Tamandua tetradactyla: one gene and its partners. Each later gene encodes a partner of the first gene's protein in a complex. Links are inferred from orthologs where the notes say so. Each region holds a gene or a part of one and is shown in the gene's direction. Other genes may lie near its edges. The genes, in order: EIF4A3, MAGOHB and UPF3B.

Region 1 (8,099 bases):
GTGGTTACCATGCCCTGAGCCCTGCCCCTCAATCACGCCAATCTCAGGTCTGCCTCGGGCTCTTCTGCTCCGGACACTCCTCCCCGCCCCGGTCTTTCCATCCCACCTCCTCTCAACTCCGCTCAGGCCGCCCCTCCCCGCAGCCATCTGGGGAGAGCACCACCCAGGAACTCTCATCCCCTGCACCTTATTTTATTTTCTCCACAGTAATTACAAAGCCCACGATTGTCTTCCTCATGTCTGTGTTCGTGGGCCTTGCCCTCCGCTGGAACGCCAACTCCGAGGGCAGGTTCTGCCTGTCCTGTCGGCCTCTGGCTTCAGCACCTAGAACAGCGCCCCAGGAAAGGGCAACCGGTGGCCCAAAGCCTGACTCCCCGCAGGGGCAGGGGCAAGGCCGGACACTGTGGACGCTGCAGGTGGGTCTGGACAGCACTTGGTGAGGCGCCCCACCCCAGCAGGAAGGACCGAGAAAGGACAGCGCCGGGAAAGGAGGAGTGTTTACTCTTTAGTATCTGGAAATGGGTGTGGACTTCTGACAGGAAGCCCTGCTTTGGGGACAGTCCCTTGGATGGAGGTCACTTCTGTCCAGGGCATGGACTTGTATGGAGGTGATTCATGAGAAACCCAGCCCAGCAGAGCAGCTCTGCTCCCACTCCTGGACAGGATGACCCTCCAGAACCTTCTCCCGGAGCCAACACAGATCAGGAAAGGGATGGGCCGGCTTTTGAGGCAGCCACGTGGTGAGCTGGCCAACCTCCCTGGGTCCCGTGTACCTCCCCGCTTCTTGCCCTGGACATCAAGTGAGCAGTCAACAAGCCAACAGGTATTGACTAAACATCTACTGTGTGCTGGGGAAACACGGAGAACAGACAGACAAGGTCCCTGCCCTTCTGGAGACTACCGTTTAATCAGGAGAGGAAGCCCCCTGCCCCCCGAAAATCCTAAACTCTGTAGAAACTGAGTCACCAGAGCCAGAGTGGGTGCTGAGAGGGTGCACGATGGGTACCCCCGCCCCCCCCGCTGGCGTTGAGGCACCCAGTGGGGCTGGCCTGATGGGTCCAGCGTGGAAACCCGGCACGTCCACTCTGCAGGGCACTCTGCTCCTCCCTGTAGGTCACTTTAGCTTTTCTAGCTGGCCATTCACTCTTCCACTAGTCAAGTGGTTAACATATCACATTGCCTGCACTCTCTACTTGGATTGCTAATTGAGGTTTCTGATAAGACTCCAAACATGAGTCTGGGAATGTAAGCAGAGGGATTAGATAGCAGGGGGTTGTCAATTCTTGCTTCTTAAGTAGATGCTGATGTGCCAAGGCTGCCTCAGAGCAAGTGTTTTAACACATACTGTGAGCAACTGAGGCATGCTCTCTCGTGTGACCAATGAAGGGATAATCGCCTACTAGTGATGAGTGCTTGGAAATTGTCTGGATGCCACAAGGACTTTGGTGGGCAATGCCCAGGTTTTGTGAAAATGGGCATCGAGGTTTTTTGTTTTGTTTTGTTTTTGTTTTTTGCATGGGCAGGCACTAGGAATTGAACCCAAGAACTCTGCCTGCTGAGCCACCGTGGCCTGCCCTGTGCATCGAGTTTTAATAGAAAAATTGTTCTCCTGAGAATTCTTGTTCTCCTTGCAATTACCCAGAACACTTCGTCCTGCATCATGACAAAAATATGGGTCTTTTGTGATCTACTGCATGAACCTCCAGCTCTGAGCTCCCTAAAGAGTGGACGTACAGGGTTTATCACACCTGGGCCGCCCTCCCAGTCATGCTGGGCACCTCCCATCATGCTCTATCCCAGCACCTGCTCTGTCTCCAGTGCCTCAGTTACCACCAAGTTTACAATTTTCAGGGGGCAGGAGGCTACCTCACCTGATGAGACTGTAGTTTCCAGGAGGGCAGGAACCATATCTGTTTGGTTCTCCAGGTTTCCTAGAGAGCATGGTTCACCTAGAGATAGCATCGGCCCCCTTCCCCTGAGCTCTTCTCATTTTCATGGACTCTAGGTTAAACCATTATTAGCCCCAGTTACAGGTTGAATGCACTCCCCAAAAGATATTTCAGAGTTCTAACCCTAGATACTTGTGCATTACTTGAAAACAGGGTTGCAGCAGACAGAATTAGTTAAATTAAGATGGGGCCATATTGCAGCAGGATGGGCCCTTAATCCAATATGCTGGATATCCTTATAGGAAGGGGAGAGGAGGGACAGACACCCATTAGAGAGAAGATAGCCATGTATAGATGGAGGCGGTGAAAGTACTGATGCAGCTACAAGCCAAGTCACAGTAAGCACTGCAGGGAGCTGTCAAAAGCTGGAAGGGCTGAAGGAGAACACTCCTCAGGGGTTTTAGGGGGAGTGTGGCCCTTCCAACCCAGTGATCGCAGACCTCTGATCCCCACAACTGCAAGAGAATAAGTTCTGTTGCTTTGAGCCCCCCAGTTGGTGGTACTTTGCTATGGCAGCCCCAGGAAATGTAGAGAGCCCCAAACAAAAGGAAGAGAACTTAAGACGAACACTCAGACACAACAAAAAGGACATTGTTAGGAAAATGGCATAAAACGTTTAGAACACCTTGCCATGAAAACATGAAGGCAAAAGACAAGTCTAAGTGAAGACAAAAAACAAGTCTAGGGGCAGCCTGACTAAGATTAAAAAAAAAAAATTCAGAACGAGTAGAAGACTGGAATAATTTCATTCCCTCCTTATTGATACTGGAATTTTTCAAATCACTAAATTTCTATTCTTTCCCCTTATGCCTGGCAAGGTTCTTTTATATGCTACCGGGTACCCTAGAGCAGCACTATCCAATAGGAATTTAATATGTAGTTTTAAATTTTCTAATAGCCATATCTCAAAAAGCAAAAAAATGAGAGGCATTAATTTAAATAGCATATTTTATGTAACCCAAGATACCCAAAATATTATTGCAACAGTAACCAATATAAAGTTATTAAAGAGAAATTTAACACTATTTCCTTACACAACACAGCCCTAGAGCGCCAGAGTCCTGCTTGCAAAACTGAGATTGTACACCTCAGAGAAGGTATGGAATAATTCTTCATGGGGTGAGAAGAAAACATAAGAACTTGCTTTCGGACTTCATTTATCTCGAAACATAAGAAAGAATTTCAGCCTTACAAATATTTGGTATTTAGATTGCTCTGACACCCTTCTAGGCCCATGGAAGGTCAGTCATCTCAGGATGGACAGACCTGAGTCCAGGGCAAGGCCTTCAGGTGAGAGAAGCCCCACCCTCCCATTCTGGGTCAACATATTTCAAGCCACTGAGAATCCCATGTACCTGGTTCAGAGGATAAAACTATTGCCTGATTTTAGATTAGCCTCCACAAAAGCAGTGCTTTAAACACTCCAGCCAAGAGGCCATGGATTAAAGGAACACCCTGTGACTGAAGCCAGGGGAACAAGGCGAAAGGACAGAGCCGACACTCGCTGGAAGTTTAACTTGCAAATAGTTAAAACACAACTCTCATACAACACGGAACTGGACAGGTGTCAAAAAGCAGTAACTCTAACCCATTAAAGAGGGACTCAGTGAGATGGTAAATCTGGCTCAATCATCACTGAGAAACTGGGTTTCTGAAGGCATTTTTGAAAAGTTTAGAATAAGCTGGCTAGGTTAAATGCACAACTCTACTCTGATACAAGATGTATTTTATTTATTTATTTATTTATTTATTTTCTGGTCAGCATAAATGCGTATTTTACATCTTCTCAGAACACAACTTGAACATTTTGAAATATTTCTACAAGTTTTAATTTTCCCTCTATCATCTTAGAATTATTCTATTTCTCTGCTTCTGTTAAGATTAACAAGGATCTGAATTTTATTTTCATTTTCTTTCAGCATTTCAGAATTTGGTCTTCTGTGGTCTAAACTCCACTGCTAATTTTCTACAAAATACTTGGAGGATTTTTAATTCCTTTACAATAACTAACATACATCTTAATATATGGTATGTAATATACATTTGATACATAGTATATTTATCATTTTCACAGCCACATAATACTCCATTGGGTTGAAAATACATAATTTAATTAAAAGTTCCTTTACATTTCGCATTTAAGTTATTTGCTGGGTTTTGCTGTTAGGAACACCTTGTTCCTAACATACTTGTGTCTCCTTTTGAATTGTTTCTTTGGTCAAGAGATACGAATATATATATTTTTTTAATTTATATTTTATTTATTTTTAAGGGATACAGAAATATTTGCATTTTAGTTCGGGATACGTGTATTTTAAATGACCTCATCTTTTCCCCAGGGGAGAAATTATTAGCGCCTCCTCCAGACAAAATCTAGGCGTTAATGCACGATCCCACGTGTAAGCCCTGACATTACAGCAAACTGCAAAAATGAAACAAAAGTACTAACGACGCGATCCTTTACGGAAGGATGCTCACGTCCAAGCCTGGACACTTCTCACCGCGCGGCGCTCCGGGGCAACTTCGTATTGCCCACGTGGGACCTTAAAAAGGGGCAGTCCCGTCAGAGCGGACAAACAGCTAGAAATTCAAAACTTTCCCCAAACAGGTCCCTTGAATATGGTTTCTAGCCGGTTTTAATAAAAACGAATTTCACACGGGGCTCATAAAGAGATGCCGATGATAACATCAGCCTAAAACGCATAACCAGCAGACACTCAGATTTTAGAGATGCGCGCTCACATTTTCACTGCGACCCTCTGGGACCTCGCCCAGTTTCCACGGGCCTCCCGCCTACGCCGACTCGCGGCGGCCATTCACAGCACCCATAAGTGACACACAAGTGTGTCCCCGTGTTGTTCATCCGCTCACCCAGACATCGACGACTACAGCCCCCAAACCACCCACGCTACGCTCTCCCTCAGCCGCCCCAAGTTTCGAGAAGGGAGGCGTGGCTCCGGGCGCTACATCCCGCGGGAGCTTCAGATCTCGCGAGAACTTCATCCACCACCGCTTTCCCTGCGGCGAACGCCTCACCCCTTTCACGTGACCAAGAGCGTCCGACGCACGCTCACACGCACGGAGGCCACACGCACGCGCGCGCGATGGCGTCAGTTCCCGGCGGCAGCGGCCTGTTTCCGCTTTCCGCCTGGGACCAGCCACCGGTCCGCCGCGCGCTCGTCTCTCGGTGGCCTCGGAATCATGGCGGCCACCGCCACGATGGCTACGTCGGGCTCCGCGCGGAAGCGGCTGCTCAAAGAGGAAGACATGACCAAAGTGGAGTTCGAAACCAGCGAGGAGGTGGATGTAACCCCCACGTTCGACACCATGGGCCTGCGGGAGGATCTTCTGCGCGGCATCTACGCCTACGGTCGGTGGGGCGCGGGCTTAGGGGAGCCCCGGGGCGGCGGCATTCCGGGAGGGGCGACTGGGTGAGCAGGTCGACGTGGGGGGTCGTGGCGGAGGCTCCGAGGCTCCGGGGATCAGTGACGTGAGATTCCCCCCGCCCCGGCGCACAGCCGTCACTCCACGTCTGCATCTTTCGTCCCATATGCTCTCCCTGGTGCAGAGTGCCCTGCTAGGCTCAGCAAGGGGTGCAGAGTCTCCAGGCACCTTAAGAGTCTCCATTCATAGGAACTGTTTTATACGCATTAGGCGTTAGGCAACAGGTGCTGCTCTGGGCAACGGGGATTTAGCAGCCAGCCAGGCAGTTTCCTGCCTTTATGGGGCTTAAATACTGTTTGGGAGAAGGACGAGGTGTAACTAAGGTTGTTTCAGGCAGTGATAATTTCATTGGGGAAAATAAAGCGGGGTGAGTCAGTACTGAGAGTGACTGTGAGGTGGGTGGGGGCAGTTTTAGTTGAAATAGAGCAGATAGATAAGGGGAGTGACGCTTAAGCTGAGACTTGAATTAAGCGCCAGCCACAGAAGTCCCCGCAGAGGCAGCTGGTGCCAGCTGCCCGCACATCTTCCCAAGCACGGTGTATTCCAGGAATCTAAAGAAGCCCCTGTTATGAGCTTAGGGGCGAGTTTAGAGAGATAGGCAGGAATTGAATCTTGCAAAGCATTGTTTGGGGTGATAGAGTTTGAATTTTATTTCTAAAGAGAGTGTTCCGGGTGCTCTGTGGATTTGGAGGGAAGGTGAGGCAGGGTTGGAAACAGGGACTTAGGAGGCTTTTGCTCTAGTTTAGGTGAGAGATGATGCCTTTGCAGTGGACCGAGAGAGGAAGACAGTGGAGCTGATGTGACAGAATTTGCCAGTGATTTTGAATGCTAGTGGCAGAGGACCCCAGCCTGATTTCTGGGGGGGTTGAGTAACTGGTTGGGTGATGGTGCCATTTGCTTGACGGGGGGTGGGGGCGGGAAAATGGGGTAAGGACCTGGGAAGACAAAATTAGGAGCTCTGTCTACCTTGGACATGGAGAGCTTGAGAGGCCTGTGAGCCATGCACTTGGACATTTGGGTTGGCAGTTGTCCAGGCAAGTTTGGAGTCCAGGGAAGAAGTCAGGCCTGATGGGTGAATGATCTGTGTTTAAAGCTTGGGATAGGGTATCGTTCATCCAAACAATTTCCAAAGGTCCTTGATAGCACAAGGCATTAGAAGAGTGAGGGGAAAGCTGTCTGAGGGTTTGGAAGGTGAAAAGAAACCCTTGACCCTGATAGTGAGGCAGGCACCGTTCTCGTCATCCCAGGGCCTCCTTGTTCTAAAATACTGTTGTTGGTTCCCAACTGTGTCCTTGCACATTCCGAGGGATTTAAAGGATATTATATTTGCTTTTATGTTAAGATGGGAACTTGTACTGTATTTTGAAAAACAATTGAACTATGATTTTGTATATAAAGTTTTGTTTACTTCGAACATGGTCCTTCAAAATAACCCCTCCCTTGGTAGTTGCTGTACCAGAGGATAGCAGGTGGGTGATTACCACAGCTGCCTGGAGACCGGATTCTCTATCTCAGGACACACAGTATGATCCAAGCAGGAACTAAATGCAGTTAGAGTTAACACAAATAGCCCACACACATAATGCTGTAATCAGTGTTACAGATTTTCTTTTTTAATTTAAAAAGTAATACTCTCCTCCAAACAAACGAACAAAACAATACAGGCTTTTTAGATCCAGCCACAAAGATAGAACTAATTAAAGAAAAAATTAGGTTCTCTTCCCCCAACCCCATTTCCAGGGGTGACCACCAATGACCTTTTGGCACCCATACTTCTAGATGTTGCATACACATACTTTTTTTTTTTGATGTTTTTATTGCAATATCTTCACACACCATGCAGTCCACCCAAAGTATACAATCAGGAGCTCACAATATAATCACATAATTGTGTATTCATCACTATGATCATTTTTAGAACATTTGCATCATTCCAGAAAAAAGAAATAAAAAGAAAAACCCCATACATCCCATACCCCTTGACCCTCCCTCTCATTGACCACTAGTATTGTAGTCTACCCAATTTTTTTTACCCGTTATCCCCTTTCCCCATTATTTATTTATTTATTGTCCTTATTTTTTTCTCATCTGTCCATACCTGGGTAAGCCACAATGTTTTCACAATCACACAGTTACATTGAAAATAGGTAGTTATACAGTTGTCTTCGAAAATCAGGGCTACTGGCAAATCAGTAGGCCATGCCCTCGATCATGAGGCTTACTCTGGTGAAGCTTATGTAGGTAGCGGAGAAGCTTAGATCTTCCTATAGGCATGCCTAAGAGTTACTTCTGGAAGACCTCTGTTGTTGCTCAGATATGGCCTCAGTCTCTCTAAGCCCAATTCTGCAAGTGAAATCATTGCCCTCCCCGCTACGTGCGACATGACATCCAGGGGTGAAAGTCTCCCTGGTGACATGGGAGAGGACTCCCAGGGATGAATCCAGACCTGGCACCATGGGATCATCAATTACAACCTGACCAAAAGGGAGCAAAGAAGTATAATTAATAAAGTATCAGTGGCAGAGAGTTCAGATAGAGTCGAGAGGCTACTCTGGAGGTTGCTCTTACACAAGCTTCAGGTAGACCTTGCTACCTGTCGTAACCTGCCAGCACGCAACCAGGACCATTCCAGCCAATCCTAAAGAGCACCTAGGGCAATATATAAGATTCCACAAGGGTTCCAGGCACTAGAGTAACTTTCCGGAA
Region 2 (7,288 bases), on another chromosome or scaffold:
ATATCTACTTGGATACTGTAACTAATGGAAACTTGATAACATAGTTTAATTTGGAATAGTCTGAACCAATAGTTCTCAAATTATGCTCATGAAGATATTAGTATCCTTACATTAGATTTAGGGTATTCTGCTGTTAAACTTGAATAATAGTGGGGATTTTTCACTGTTTTTAAAAAGAAAAAATAAGTTAATGGATAGAATTTTATTAATCTTAACATTGCTGTTATATATGTATAAAATTCTGGACTAACATAACTCACTTAAATAATTCAAGTACTGAAAGATCCAGACCAGGCCTATGCTTAATTCAACAGACTCTTTCGTTGTTGTTTTGGACACAAGAATTAGCAGTTATGATACATGTTAGAAGCATTCAATATCATCATACACTAGAAAACAATTCCTAGTTTGAATAATGGAGTTAAATATATCATGCCATGATAATCTAGAATAGCTGCAAGTGCTCATAATATATGAATGAGCATATCTGAGAAAGAACGGTGTGGAAATTTTGTTTTTTCTGCATGACAGTGGCTCTCTTAGTTAAAAAGTAATACCACTGAGTGGTTAAAAAGACAGATATGGTTAAAATTCTATAGGAAGACTATTTCAGAAGACAAGGGTAGACAGACGGATAAAGGACTATTCAAAAGTGATTGATAAAATAAAGAAAACTGAGAGTAAAACTACCACCCCCAATGTTTATCACAGGAAAGTTAGCCCATGTTTCTGAAAATTGAAAATAGGAATGATTTGATAATTTGAAATAGGTATAAAGACAAAAAAAAAAAAAAGGAGGGGAGGACAGTGGGGATATGAAAAACCGATCAAAGGAAGAGAGAATTTTAGATGTAGGAGAAATCAGAACATTTTAAAGAATAAATTTGTAATGATAAAGAATCATCTCTGACCCCGGCCCCCTTACCTGAAAGCAAAAATTAAAACAAACAAAACACACACACAGACAAAAAAACTGTAGCAGGAAAGAATTATTTTGCCAATTTTAAAGTTGTGTATTATTTGATTAAATCATTTCTTTTCAATTTTCATTGAAATTGGAAATCACGTGCTTATTTCCTAATACCTCACAAGGGTGCTTTGATTTCTTTTTCCCTTTTTCGGAAGTGCAGGGTCCGGGAATTGAACCCAGGGCTCCAGGATGGTAGGAAGAATTCTTCATCAATTAATCTTGCACCATCCTCATGTAGGTGCTTTGAAGCTGACCAAAGATAGGTTGTGTTAGCAAAGCTGAAAACAGCAGTCCAAATGAAAGACTTTTATTTGCCTTCATTTAAGCAGCCCAAACATTTATTTTCATAAGTAAATTGTGGTGATACCAGTAAGTATGCCGCAATGTGAAGCCTAGAGCTACTGAGATTTAAACACACTCACAAAATGCTTTCACTATTCCCAGCCCAAGTAAAAATGTAAAAAGAAAAAAAGGGCTTTATACAAGTGCACTGTCCATCATGCTAGCCAGATGTGGCTACTTAAACATTAATTTAGATGAACAAAAATTTTTAAATATTTAAAAATTAAAAATTCAGTTCCTCAGTCACACTAGCTACATTTCAAGTGCTGTCTACACAGAACATTTCCACATTGTTGTTGGGTAACATCTGAGAAGACTACAAAACACAAATGCTTTAGTCACTTTGCAATCTTTATCATGATTAGAGAAATACATATTTTAGCTTTGCTATTTTGGTTAAAATATGAAGAGCTGAGTAAATATATTTTCATATTATATCATAAAAACAGGTAGAGCTAGAGGGGATTAGTCTTGAGCCTAAAAGCCTTTCTAGGAGGGTAAAAACCAAAACTGGCCCATTGACAAAGACCTTAAATCTTTGCATATTCCATGAGCTTTATTTACATAGTCAAAAATTCTAGTATCCATAGCTCTCTTTAAGTAGACATGAAGAGGAATACTGGCACATAGACTAAAAATTTGAAGGAAACAGATTAGGAAATCTAAAGACAATGAACGAGGTTTCCCATAGAAACTAAATTGCTTTAGTTTTCTTGGCTGCTCAAAGAAATACCATGTAATGCGTTGGCTTAGACAATGGGAACTTATTGACTCATGGTTTTAGTCCGGAAGTCCAAATCTATGCTTTATTGTTATCAAGGTATCATCATGGTGACGTTTTCTTCCCCTAGAGTGGCCTTCAAGGGATGGCTGCTGGTGATCCTTGGTCCTTGGCGCCTGCATCACACAGCAATGCACATGGTGGTCTCTTCTGAAGGCTTCTGACCTTCAACTTCTTGCTTTCTATTTGTCTGAATTTCATTCTACTTATAAAAGACTCCAGTAATAGGATTAAGACCCATCCTGATAGAGTTGGAACATACTTTAACTGAAGTAACTTCCTCAAAAGGTCCTACTTACAATGGGTTCATACCCAGAGGAACAGATTAATTTTAAAAACATATTCTTCTGGTTGCATAGCTCCAAATTACCACATAAATAAATGGATTACAGTAAATATTTCAGAGTTGTATTGAATATTGTGGTTAAATTTCAGTGGGTTATTCATGTGGTAAGTACAATGACCACATCATCTTTGTCTGGGATCTCACAGGTTTTAAAACTGAAAGTTTTGACATCCTAGCAAACCTTACAGGCTGGACAAACTGGACTGGTTTGTCACTGTAGTGGTTAGGGATGGTGCCTTATGTTTCTTATGTATTTTCCATAATGGTGGCCTATAGTAGTTCATACCAAGTAAAATTTCTATAGAAACAGTTATATAGTAACACCTTATTTATAAGGTCCAACATACCTTGGCCCAGTCTGTCTTTCTAGTTATTCTACTTCAGAGAATCTTATGTTCTAGGTATACTGCATTTCTTGGATTCTCCAACACCAAGTATTTTCATAACACTGTGCCTTTGCCCAGGCCATATCATCCCACTGAAGACACACTGAAGTTATCTGTCAATGTCCAATTAAAATAGCACACCTTTTCACAAGCCTTCCTTGATACCTTTCTTCAGCTTCCTCTCTCTGCAATACACTTGCTCCTCTCCTGCACTATCAGCATATTTTTCCACAAATTTTTAATATAGCAGTTGCTTCCTTGTGCTAATACCTTTCTCCATGTTTGTTTTCTCTTCTAGACTACAAGTGCAAAAGTCTTTCTTTTTATTTCTGACAAATAAGAAAATGCTTGTTAAAATGCATTACGTAGTATTTTATAAATTTCAAAGCTTATTCGCACACATTATCTCATTTACTCCAATCAACAATTTCATGAGTTTGGCAAAGCTTGTTTGTAGTACACCTGTTTCCTTGATGAACATACAGTGATTTGAACAAGTTAGAACTACTAACTTGAACTAGGTAGTAGTTCTGTTGGGATTGAATCTCAGGTCTTCGGACTGCTACTCTTTCCATGAAATTCCAGTGAAGGTTAAGGGTCATCTGACACATAACTGTTCGTAACAGAAGGTTGTCCAATATCAGAAAACCAGACTTTGTGTAAAAGCTCACCTTGTCTTTTCCATCTTCAAAACTACCTCACAGTAGAACTTACCTTCACTTTCTCAATTTATTTTTATCAATTTTATATCTATCTATATGAGAAACCTGGATTAAACCGTTATTTGATCTTGAGTCAAACTGCCAAAACTCCATAGGTCACTAAAGGTTAACAGTTACACAGTGAATGAAGCATCTAAGAAGTTTCTACTATTAAAGGAACTCTTTTATTCCAAGGCTGTCAGAATTTTCAGTTTCAATATGTTTTTCAAAACTTCAGACATCTCCTCAGAGGGCTACTTCTATACTTTGTGTCTCTATTACAGGCGTCCGTCTCCAGGAAAACTAACAATCATCGTTCAAAAGGAAAACCCGGTGTTAGGAATCACGTAGAGAAAGTTGTTGTATGACGAATTTCCCATCGACTCTGGGTTTTATCTTCACTCACTTAACCAGTTAAAATTGGGTAAAGCCACATCCACCGCCTACAACTGCGCGAGACTTGAGACCAGAATAAAGCGACTTGCAATCCTTAGCACTAAGCGCACACACAAAAAACCAGTACCGTATTTTCATACTTTCGTCTTCTGCTAATATGACAAAATCCGTTTAATTTTTAAAATAGCGTACTTCCGATCTCCGCAAAGCAGTTCAAGTCACTTTTGACCTGCCTTTGCTCTCTCCGGAGCCTCTCCCACGAGACACAGCCATTGTTCTTGCCTTCGCAGAATCTGCGAGGCGGAAGCGCGGCGACCACGATGACGCGCTAATCCGGGGCGATTGACGTCACTCCCAGGCGCCGGACGGCACGTTGCCCAGGCCTTCTGCCGGCTTCCCGGAAACAAAAATGTCTCTAGCCAGCGATTTCTACCTACGCTACTACGTAGGGCACAAAGGCAAATTTGGACACGAGTTTCTGGAGTTTGAGTTTCGGCCGGATGGTGAGTGGGCTGGGGGGGGGCTGCTGGCACTGCAACTCTGCGGGGGTGTCGGGAAAGGGGAAGCCAGGAGAAGAGGCGGCGAAGGACTAGGGGTGTGGGGTGGAGCGAGCAAGCCGCGGTGGACTTGAAAGTGTTCTGTGGCAGCTGAAGCCGCTGCTTGAGCCGAAGTAAGTAGCTGAAGAATATAGGAAGCCTAAGTTGATTCTTGTGACTAAAAGGATTAATTGGTGTGAGTTCAGAAAAGCTAATACTGTCACACACTGAAAAGTTGAATCAGTGGTATTCAGAATCCTAGAATCCGTGTGGCAGAAGGTCTAATACTTGGGCAGTTATAACAACACCCTACCCAGCGGTGGGCCTGTGTATGCTTAAAATTTTCCAGTGACTGATTACTTTTCGTTCTCCCCATTCATTCACTTTTTTTCATTCAGGCAGTGTGTGTAAAGCAGCAGGTCAAGAAAGAAATGACACCTGCTCTGAAGGGGAGAGTCCCCGAAGTGTATACAGAAGAGTGAAATGATGTGTTTGGGGTTCGATTGTCTACCACAGTAGTACGTTAGGAATTCAGACATGAAAAGTGATTAGTGATTAGCTCTATCTGATGAGGGTCAGAAAAAGCTTCCTAGAAATGAGTTTTGGAATAAGAGTAGGTATTTTCATGACCTTTGAGGGAGATAGTCCAGACTACCAAAACAGTATGAGTAGAGGGCGAGGTGAAACTCCCAGCACTCACGAAATGTACAGCAAATTTGATCTCTTGACTGCACAAACTCTTTTAAAGTGCTTTATTGCGTATTGAACTCTGCCTGCCTGTCACAGGACAGTTCAACTGGATTAGATTTTTCCTTTTTGAATGCATATTATGTGTTGGGGCAAAGTGTCATATACAGAAATTGAGAATACTGTAATGGTAAGACTCTTTAATTGCCTTCAATGAGTTGTGTCTTGGTAAAAGACACAGAAATGAAACAGACCATACAGCAGTATGGATAAGAAGTGCTGTAATCATGCTTTGGAAAAGGTTCTACGAAAGCATGAAAGAAAAATTAGGGAGAGGGTCACATATTAGGAAAGGGGAAGAGTATAGACATTTCAGGCAGGAATCTAGGTAACTATTGCTCTGCAGATGAGAAACCCTTATTACCTTATTCAGGCTTGTTTTCCCCATATCTTTTCCAAATTTAGCTAAGGAGGTAAAGGAGCTGAATTCTTCACCTATTTATTCCTTAACATGATACAGTTTTCACAGTATCCTCACCTGTGACCACCATCCAGCATTTCAATATCACTTTTACTCAGTTACATAAATGAAGTACCCTGAGGCTATTAGGGAATTTTCATCCCAGAACAGTGCTTCTTATCCATTTACCTGCTGTCAAACCATTCTACATACTTCCATCAGTAACAATGACTCGCAAAGACAGTACCTAAAGGATACACCTCAGTAGGGTACCCTATTACCATTAAATGCAGATGATCAAGACAAAATTTGCTTCTGTACCTGGTCAACGAGTTGGCAATGAGAAGTGTGCATCAGGGAATATGAAAGTCATGATGTGTTAAAATTAAATATAAACCAGCCAACAAACTAGTCAACTTCTGTATGGGAGCTTTGTGTAGTCTGTATACTTTCTAGTCACAATTCTAAAGCATTAGTATTGCCATATTTATAATTACATTTACGTTGAAGGAAAATAATTAAAAGAACATTTTGAAGTAGTGGAGAAAGCATGAGTATAGGAAGACAGTATATATAAATTTGAATATTGTGTGACCATGGGCAAGTTACTTTGTTTACTCACCTGTGAATAGAGGTAATAAAACCTTTCTAAGGTTTGCTTTTAGATTCGATTAGATGTGCTAAGTTAAACCACTTAGCACCAGTTCAGATTTATAACCTGAAAAATAAATGTTAGTACCTTTTCCAAAATCCTTTGCTAATTTGTGATAGCTAGGAAAAGGGGCCTTAAAAATGACCCTTTTGTCATATATTGTAGGAATGGAATATTTAAAAATTTGGCTAGCTTCAGCCAACTTACCCACAGATATTTATTGAGCATCTTTTTCACCAAGCATGAAGGAGGAAATAATAATAAAATAGCAGCATAAAATGGTCTTTACCTTCAAAATTGCTTACAATATTTTTTTAGCCTTTTCTGCTGTTACAGATTGAATTTTTTTCTTTTCCCATAGGAAAGCTTAGATATGCCAACAACAGCAATTACAAAAATGATGTTATGATCAGAAAAGAGGTAAGTTCTTTTTAAATATCTAATTCTTATATTTAGTTCATTTTAAAAAAAATTTTATTAATAAAACCAGTAAACACACAATGTGAACATTCTTTTTTCTCTTGTCACATAGTTGTATATTCATCATGATCATTTTTAGAACATTTGCATCAATTCAGAAAAAAGAAGAAGACAACAGAAAAAAATTCATACATACCATACCCCTCCCTTTCATTTTTGTATTTCAATCTACTAAATTTATTTTAACATTTGTTCCCCCTATTTATTTATTTTTAAACCGTATGTTTTACTTATCTGTCCATAAGGTAGATAAAAAAAAAGCATCAGACACCAGGTTTTCACAATCACACAGTCACATTGCTAAAGCTATATCATTATACAATCATCTTCAAGAAACATGGCTACTGGAACATGGCTCTGCATTTTCAGGTAGTTCCCTCTAGCCTCTCTGTTATACCTTAACTAAAAAGGTGATATCTATTTAATGTCTAACAATAACTTCCAGGGATAACCTCTCAACTCTCTTTGGAATCTTTCAGCCATTGACACTTTACTTTGTCTCGTTTCTCTCTTCCCTCTTTGGGTCAAGAAGGTTTTCTCAATCCCTTGGT
Region 3 (7,926 bases), on another chromosome or scaffold:
AGAGGCACTAAAGAAGCTTCTGGAATCCTGGCAATATTTTGTTTCAATCTCAAAACTAGTTACATGAGTGTGTTCACCTTGTGAAAATTCATCAAGCTATACACTTATTACTTGGGCACTTGTCTATACATGTGTTATACTTTAGTTAAAAGTTTAATTACCACAACTTCTCTAATAAAAAATTTTAAAAGTTTAATTAAAAAGAAAGTTTACAGTGTTTGATATGCATAATAATGCTGCAGTACCAACATCACCCAAGATGTCCACATCCTATTCCCTGGAACTGTGACTATGTTAGGTTACATGGCAAAGGGCATTTATGGTTGCAGGTGTTATTAAGATTACTAATTGACTATTAAAATAGGGAGATTAGCCTGGATTATCCAGGTGAGACCAATATACTCAGAGTTCCCTAAAGTGGATGGTGGAGGCAGAAAAGAGGATCATGGAAAGAGACATGATAACAGAAGCAGGGTTAGAAAGATGTTATGTTGCTAGTTTTGGAGACGGATGAAGGGGCCACAAATCAATGAAAATGAGTAAAATCTCAAGAATCTGGAAAAGACAAAGAAATCAAGGAAGTAGATTCACTCCTAAAGCCTACAGAAAGGAACTCAGTCATGCCAACACCTTGATTTTAGCCCAATGAGACCCACTCTTTCAGTTTGCTAAAGCTGCCAGAATGCAATATACCAGAAATGGATTGGCTTTTAAAATGGGGATTCATTAATTACAACCTATAGTTTTAATTTACAGTTCTAAGGCCATGAAAATGTCCCAATTAAGGCATCAACAGGATGACACCTGACTCTGAAGACAGGCCACTGGCATCTGGGAAACCTCTGCACATGGGAAGGTACATGGCCGGCGTCTGTTAGTCCTTCTCTCCTGGGTTTTACTGCTTCCAGCTTCTGGCTTCAGTGGCTTCCTCTCTGAGCTTCTGTAGGTCTTCTCTTAACTTCCCTGCGGGTTTTCTCTATGAAATTCTCTGGGTTTTTTTCTGTCATTTCTCTCCTAAAGGAGTCTAGCAAAAGGATTAAGACCCACATTTAACGGGTTGGGTCACATCTCTATTGAAAAACCCTAATCAACAGGTCCCACCTACAAGAACATAGGAACGTCATTACTGCAGGGTGTTGAAAATTGATAGTAATTAATATTTTAAAATTTTAACTATGTGTCACACTATAGCAAAAAATGTTTTGGTACAAAATTTATATTTTGACTAGTGCATTTCCTAATATAACTTATGTAGATGGCTTAATTGAATACCGTAAGTACATGGAACCCTGAGTAGGGCATGATATTTTGTTGGTTTGTCCAGAGTGATGCCCCGATAAATCCCAGAGTGATTTTAACAGTGAATAAAAAAGTATGTGCAAAGTCCCCTTCGAGGAATGGTGAGAAAGGGGGAAAATTCAACTTCCCCAAGTTGAATTCTTGATATTCTCACAAGCAGTGAGGACAACCAAAGCTATAGGCTGAGCCCCCAATCTTGGGGTTTGTCCATATGAAACTTAACCCCACAAAAGATAGGTCAAGTCTACTTAAAATTAGGCCTAAGAGTCACGCCCAGGAGAACCTCTTTTGTTGCTCAGATGTGGCCTCTCTCTCTAGCCAACACAACAAGCAAACTCTCTGCCCTCCCCCTGTCTACGAGGGACATGACTCTCAAAGGTGTGGACCTTCCTGGCAACGTGGGACAGAAATAATAGAATGAGCTGGGACTCAGCATCAAGGGATTGAGAAAACCTTCTTGACCAAAATGGGTAAGAGTGAAATGAGACAAAGTGTCAATGGCTGAGAGATTCCAAACAGAGTTGAGAGGTTATCCTGGAGGTTATTCTTACGGATTAAATACATATCACCTTAAGATGTAATGGAGAGGCTAGAAGGAACTGTCTGAAAATGTAGAGCTGTGTTCTAGTAGCCATGTTTCTTGAAGATGATCGTATAATGAAACAGCTTTCACAATGTGACTGTGTGATTGGGAAAACCTTGTTTCTGATGCTCCTTTTATCTATCTTATCAACAGACGAGTAAAACATATGAAATAAAAATAAATAATCGGGGGAACAAATGTTAAAATTTAGATTGAAATGCTAGTGATCAATGAAAGGGAGGGGTAAGGAGTATGGCATGTATGAATTTTTCTATTCCTTTTTCTTTTTCTGAATTGATGCAAATGTTCTAAGAAATGATCATGATGATAAATATGCAACTATGTGATGATACTGTGAATTAATGATTTATATATGTTGAATGGAATGATCATATGTTAAGAATATTTGTGTTTCTTTCTTGTCATATCTTTTCTAAAAATTTAAAAATTAATTGAAAAAAAAGTCCCACCTACAACAGGTCTGCACCCAAAGGAATGGATTAAAAGAGCATGGCCTTTTCTGGGGTACATAACAGCTTCAAACTAGCACACCCATGTTGGACTTTCAACCTACAGAACCACAAGATAAATTTGTGATATTTTAACCCATTAAGTTTGTGATAATTTGCTACGGCAACACTAGGACTAACACAATTGGTGTGGGGGAAGATCAAGTGTTATGTTTTGGATGTTGTGATGTTTTAGAGCTATGTAACCAAGAAAAATATTCTTAAACTTAATCCATTCCTGTGGGTATGAATTGTTGTATATAGAAATGTTTGATGAGGTTTTTTCAATTAAGGTGTGGCCCAGCTGAATCAGTATGGGTCTTAACCCTATCACTGAAAGCCTTAAATGGACGGTTACAGAAAGAGAGATAGCCAGAGGGAGCAGCCAAAAGCTGAAAGTCAATGGAACCCAGAAGAGAAAGGAGAAGCCAGGAGAGTCTGCCATATGCATTGCCATGTGACAGAAAAGCCAAGGTCCAAGCATTGCAGGCAGCAGCAAACAACTCCAGTCTTCTGGGAGAAAGCATTGCATTAATAACACCTCAATTAAGACTTCTCTTAACCTCAAACCATAAGCCACCAAATTCCAATTGTTTACGATAACCCATTGAATTGTATTTGCTTTAGCAACAAGGAAACCGAAACAAATGTGTTCAGAGATACTGGAGACATTAGATACCCAAGAGGAGATGTCAAGTAAACAATTCGCTATGAGTCTGGAATTCAGAGAGAGAGATACACAGTGGATATATACATTTAGAGTTGTCAGAAGACTGGATAAGCTCAACAAAGGAGTATCGATAGAAAAGAGTTCTAAGGACCGAGCCCTGGGACACTCTATTTCCAATAACTGATATGTAACTGGTGGTTTAAAGCTAATGAGCATTCAAAATGGGGGTATACACCAAGATGTAAGTGCAGAGTTATGGAGGATGTCAAAGGAATATACTTAAGCAAGGCTTATAAGAACAGGCAGGTATTGAAAGCAAAAGTGCAAAACAGGCCACAAATTCAGGGAAACAGTCTTTGCAACAGGCATTAGGAACTCAGCATAGGCTGGGAAATAGGGGTGGGAAAATTTTAGTACAGATCTGAATAATATATTCTAGACATTAGCAAAAGTAGGAATTTGGTACTGAGCCAACTTTCTGCTTTGGGCTCCTAATGTATCCTTAAGTTGGTATCCTGCCTTATGTGAATATCTGTGTATCTCTCTAGCTTATCATTTGTTTTCTCTTCCATTTCTCCCCTTTTTCCCTAAATGTTTTCCCTTGTACCTGGCAATCACTGATCTGGTTTCTATCACTACAATTTTGCCCTTCTTTAGAATTTCATGTAAGTGGAATCATACAGCATGTCCTCATGTCCTCTCTTTGCGTCTGCATTCTTTTACTTAGCATACTTAGCTTGAGATTCATCAATTCTGATGCGTGATATCAGTTCGTTTTGTTGCGGTGTATTTCCTCGTACCAACGCACTTTTTTTTTTTAATCATTCATCACTTGACCGACACTGGACTCTCTCCAGTTTGGGTCTATTAAGAATAATGTAGGGAACAAATGTTAAAATAAATTTAGTTTGAAATGCTAGTGATCAATGAAAGGGAGGGGTAAGGGGTATGGTATGTATAAAATTTTTTTCTGTTTTTGTTTTATTTCTTTTTCTGAATAGATGCAAATGTTCCAAGAAATGAGTATGATGATGAATATGCAACTATGTGATGATATTGTGAATTACTGATTATATATGTAGAACGGAATGATCAAAATAGGAATGTTTGTGTTTGTTAGGTGTTTTTTGGTATTTAAAAAAATAAAATAAAATAATTTAAAAAAAGAATAATGTATAATTGACTTTTTTTAACTGAGGAGGGTTACCCCAACTAAGTCAAAGTAGGTTTTACTTTATTTTTTCCTCCTTGTGAGGCATCAATACAATAATAGAATCCTTTCTTAAATTATAAACGAGTGATGAAAACAAATCTCACATATTTTAGTCATATTAAATCCTTCATATACCAAATCTTATGAGTATTTATTAAGTATCTGGGAATCAGCTATGGATCCTAATCAATATAAGGAAAATACTGAAGTTTCTGAAAGTACACTTCAGAATATCAAGAAAATACAAGCCGTTCCCGTAGCAAGGCAAATTTTGGATAACACTGGATTTATACGAGGAAAACAAAGCTAAGTGCAGCCCGCAGAACCTATATCTTTCAAGATTAAAGGATTGGATTTACTTACAAATAGGGACCCTGGCCTCTCTCAACCAGAAGGGGCAACTGCTTTGTATGCCGGGACTTGTAGTTTTCGAAAGAGTCTTTTTATTTAAGACGGTGGTGTTAGCCAATCCTGTGCGAAGGAGCGGGCCCCAAGGGAGTCTGGGATATGACAGGATTCGGCCGTGCGAGAAGTAAGCACCAGGTGTTGAAACTTTTCTTCGGAGGGAAGCCTGGTGCATGAAATCTCGCGAGGTCTTGGCACTGCCCAATCAAACGAGCGGCGGAGCTCGTAACTAGGGGCATTGTTGGGGGCGGAGCTCTGACGGGAGCTGGGCTGGCTTCGTTAGGTTCCCGGCGCAGCAGCGTTCTGGCGGAGCAGATCTGTGAAGAGCGTAGCCGTGGCCATGAAGGAAGAAAAGGAGCATAGGCCGAAGGAGAAGCGGGTAACCCTGCTAACGCCGCCGGGGGCTACCGGCAGCAGCTGTGGGACTTTGGGGGACAGTGCCAAGGGAGAAGATAAGCTGGATCGCAGTAAGGAGAAGAAAGAGGCAATGAGCAAGGTACTCGGTCGACTGTTGGCCGGGGAGAGGGCGGAACGCCCCGCCGCCAGTGGATGATGGCTGGGAATGGGGGTGCCCTCTTCATCTCCTCGTCCCCCTCTTCCTCCCTCGCCTGAATGAAAATCGCACCACAGTGCCTCATCCACTTGCTCGAAATGAGGGGAGGGGGGAGCTCCTACCGGCCAAGCCCGGCCGTGGGAATGAGGAAAAAGGGGGGCTCCCCAGACGAGAAGGGTTTAGGTCAAACCTGTGAGATGATAATTATGAAGTGAGACGGTGCGCGACAGTGAGGAGAATCGGAAATTTAAAAGTTTATTGAGGAAAATTATTAGGAAGTGAAGGGAACATCAGGTGCGGGAGTAGCCTGTGATAGCAATATTAATGGAAGCGAGTTGGGGAAGAGTGTAGGGGGAATTAATGGTCTGTGGAAGGCGAATGGGGAGCATCTTATTTCGGGGGCAGTGGTGTGAATGTTTTCATGCTCGTTAGAGTTTGAATTCATTGAATTGAATGAAGGATTTTGTTTTAGGAGGTGTTAGATGTGGGAGAGAAAGATTAATGAATCAAGAGTCCTTGGCACCCACAAAAGACCAGGGTTGACTTACTGATTTACCACTAGACCTGTTGAAAAATGGGTAATAGAAAAATGGTGCGTAAACCTAGAATACCGCGGGACTGCGAGTTAAGAGCAGACTCTAAGATTTTCCTAATGCCAAGCGGTTCTCATTTGTAGGAATTTTTTTAAAACCGCCTTACTATTATGTTTGACTAATTCTGATCGTTAGGCTACAGAAAATATTTTCTCCTGGGTTTTTGTAAGTAATGACTTTTAAATCTCATCCTTCCTTAGGGATTATGATTCCTTCAGGATTGACAGGAAATTGATTTTTACTAATTCCTTTATTCATTTTTTTAAGGTGGTGATTCGGAGATTACCTCCCACTTTGACCAAGGAGCAGCTTCAGGAACATCTTCAGCCTATGCCAGAGCATGATTATTTTGAGTTTTTTTCTAATGATACTAGGTAAAAAAAAAAAAAGTGGGATGGGGTGGTAAATTAGAAAAAGATTTCTTCTGTTCTTTGCATTCTACTAATATTTTCAATTTGATTTTTGAAACTGTCTCTTTATTTAATGTACATATACTTGTAATTCAACCAGATACCCACCAGTTTATTAACACAATTGCTTTCCTCTCTGCAGTCTGTATCCTCATATGTATGCCAGAGCATACATCAACTTTAAAAACCAAGAGGACATTATTTTATTCAGGGATCGCTTTGATGGTTATGTATTCCTTGACAATAAAGGTGAGCATATCCTCAGTGCCTTCATAGCGTTTCTAAAATCCTGGGTGGTAAAATATACAACATTTAAAAAGTTTTACACATGTGAAAACCTTATTGCAGTCTTTTAAATATATATGTGATTTTTCACAGCCCTTGAGTATTTTTATTGATCTGTTATTTCTGTGGTTTGATCACCTGCATGAAATTGCCACCAATTTTTTTTCATACAATAAATTTTGTGCCCTGGATTACATAACGTTATTTGGATTATTTACTAGTCTCAACAGCAGTACTGATAAATGACTCTTTGAACTTGTAAGACAAGTTTTATATATTTACTTATCATCTTGCTTCAAGGACCAACATTTATTTAATTATTTAATTCAAATCCCTTATAGCCCATAGTTTCCAGTTAGAATACTGTTTAATGTATTCTACATGCAACACAGAATTCTCCCTATTTTGTATGTAATTAAGACATGAAATTTGATGATGTTCCTCTTTGTACCCAGGAGGATCCAATCTATAGGGAAGAAACATTTTCACCTTAGCTTTCTTTTTATTATCTGCTGCTTATAAGCTATAGATAGGGAATGTCTAAACTGCCATTGGTCACTTTTCCTTTAGTTCTGCAATCCTAGGTAAATGGAGTGTCGTTTGTTTTGTTTTTTCGGTATTATTTCAAAGTTGATAAAAAGTCATTCTTGAATGAGCTGGGACTCAGCATCAAGGAATTGAGAAAACCTTCTCGACCAAAAGGGGGAAGAGTGAAATGAGACAAAATAAAGTGTCAGTGGCTGAGAGATTACAAACAGAGTCAAGAGGCTATCCTGGAGGTTATTCTTATATTAAATAGATATCACCTTTTTAGTTAAGATGTTAATGGAGAAGCTGGAGGGAACTGCCTGAAAGTGTGGAGCAGTGCTCCAGTAGCCATGTTTCTTTAAGATGATAGAGCTTTTGCAATGTAACTGTGTGATTGTGAAAACCTTGTGTCTGAAACTCCTTTTATCTACCTTATCAACAGATGAGAAAAATATATTAACTAAAAATAAATAAATAATAGGGGGAACAAATGTTAAAATAAATTTAGTAGATTGAAATGCTAGTGATCAATGAAAGGGAGGGGTATGGGGTATGGTATGTTTGAATTTTTTTCTGTTTTCTTTTTAATTCTTTTTCTGAATTGATGCAAATGTTCCAAGAAATGATCATGATAATGAATATACAACTATGTGATGATATTGTGAGTTATTGATTATATAACAAGAATGGAATAATCATATGGTAAAAAAATTTTCATTCTTTATCAGCAAATATGCCAGTAAAAGTTGGATTGCTAACTGTGTTTGGCCAACTTTTATTAATACCCCAAACCAGCTGCTTCTTTATTCCAGTATATAGTAATGATTTCCTAATCATTTAGCCTGATCTGAATTGTGTTTAACTTTTCTTCCTTTTTC

Evidence for each region.
Region 2: EIF4A3 (region 1) and MAGOHB share a complex: the UniProt entries of both Homo sapiens proteins name them as parts of the mRNA splicing-dependent exon junction complex. The link is inferred for Tamandua tetradactyla from reciprocal best matches to the Homo sapiens genes EIF4A3 and MAGOHB.
Region 3: EIF4A3 (region 1) and UPF3B share a complex: the UniProt entries of both Homo sapiens proteins name them as parts of the mRNA splicing-dependent exon junction complex. The link is inferred for Tamandua tetradactyla from reciprocal best matches to the Homo sapiens genes EIF4A3 and UPF3B.

The regions. Positions count from the first base shown.
Region 1 is NC_135332.1:72,433,334-72,441,432, reverse strand, and holds the start of EIF4A3 (eukaryotic initiation factor 4A-III), read left to right. Parts: upstream 1-5,058; 5' UTR 5,059-5,150; coding exon 5,151-5,319; intron 5,320-8,099. UniProt on the Homo sapiens protein: ATP-dependent RNA helicase. Involved in pre-mRNA splicing as component of the spliceosome. Core component of the splicing-dependent multiprotein exon junction complex (EJC) deposited at splice junctions on mRNAs.
Region 2 is NC_135333.1:73,225,137-73,232,424, reverse strand, and holds the start of MAGOHB (protein mago nashi homolog 2), read left to right. Parts: upstream 1-4,266; 5' UTR 4,267-4,331; coding exon 4,332-4,425; intron 4,426-6,618; coding exon 6,619-6,677; intron 6,678-7,288. UniProt on the Homo sapiens protein: Required for pre-mRNA splicing as component of the spliceosome. Plays a redundant role with MAGOH in the exon junction complex and in the nonsense-mediated decay (NMD) pathway.
Region 3 is NC_135353.1:46,953,486-46,961,411, forward strand, and holds the start of UPF3B (regulator of nonsense transcripts 3B), read left to right. Parts: upstream 1-4,855; 5' UTR 4,856-5,019; coding exon 5,020-5,175; intron 5,176-6,092; coding exon 6,093-6,199; intron 6,200-6,377; coding exon 6,378-6,484; intron 6,485-7,926. UniProt on the Homo sapiens protein: Involved in nonsense-mediated decay (NMD) of mRNAs containing premature stop codons by associating with the nuclear exon junction complex (EJC) and serving as link between the EJC core and NMD machinery.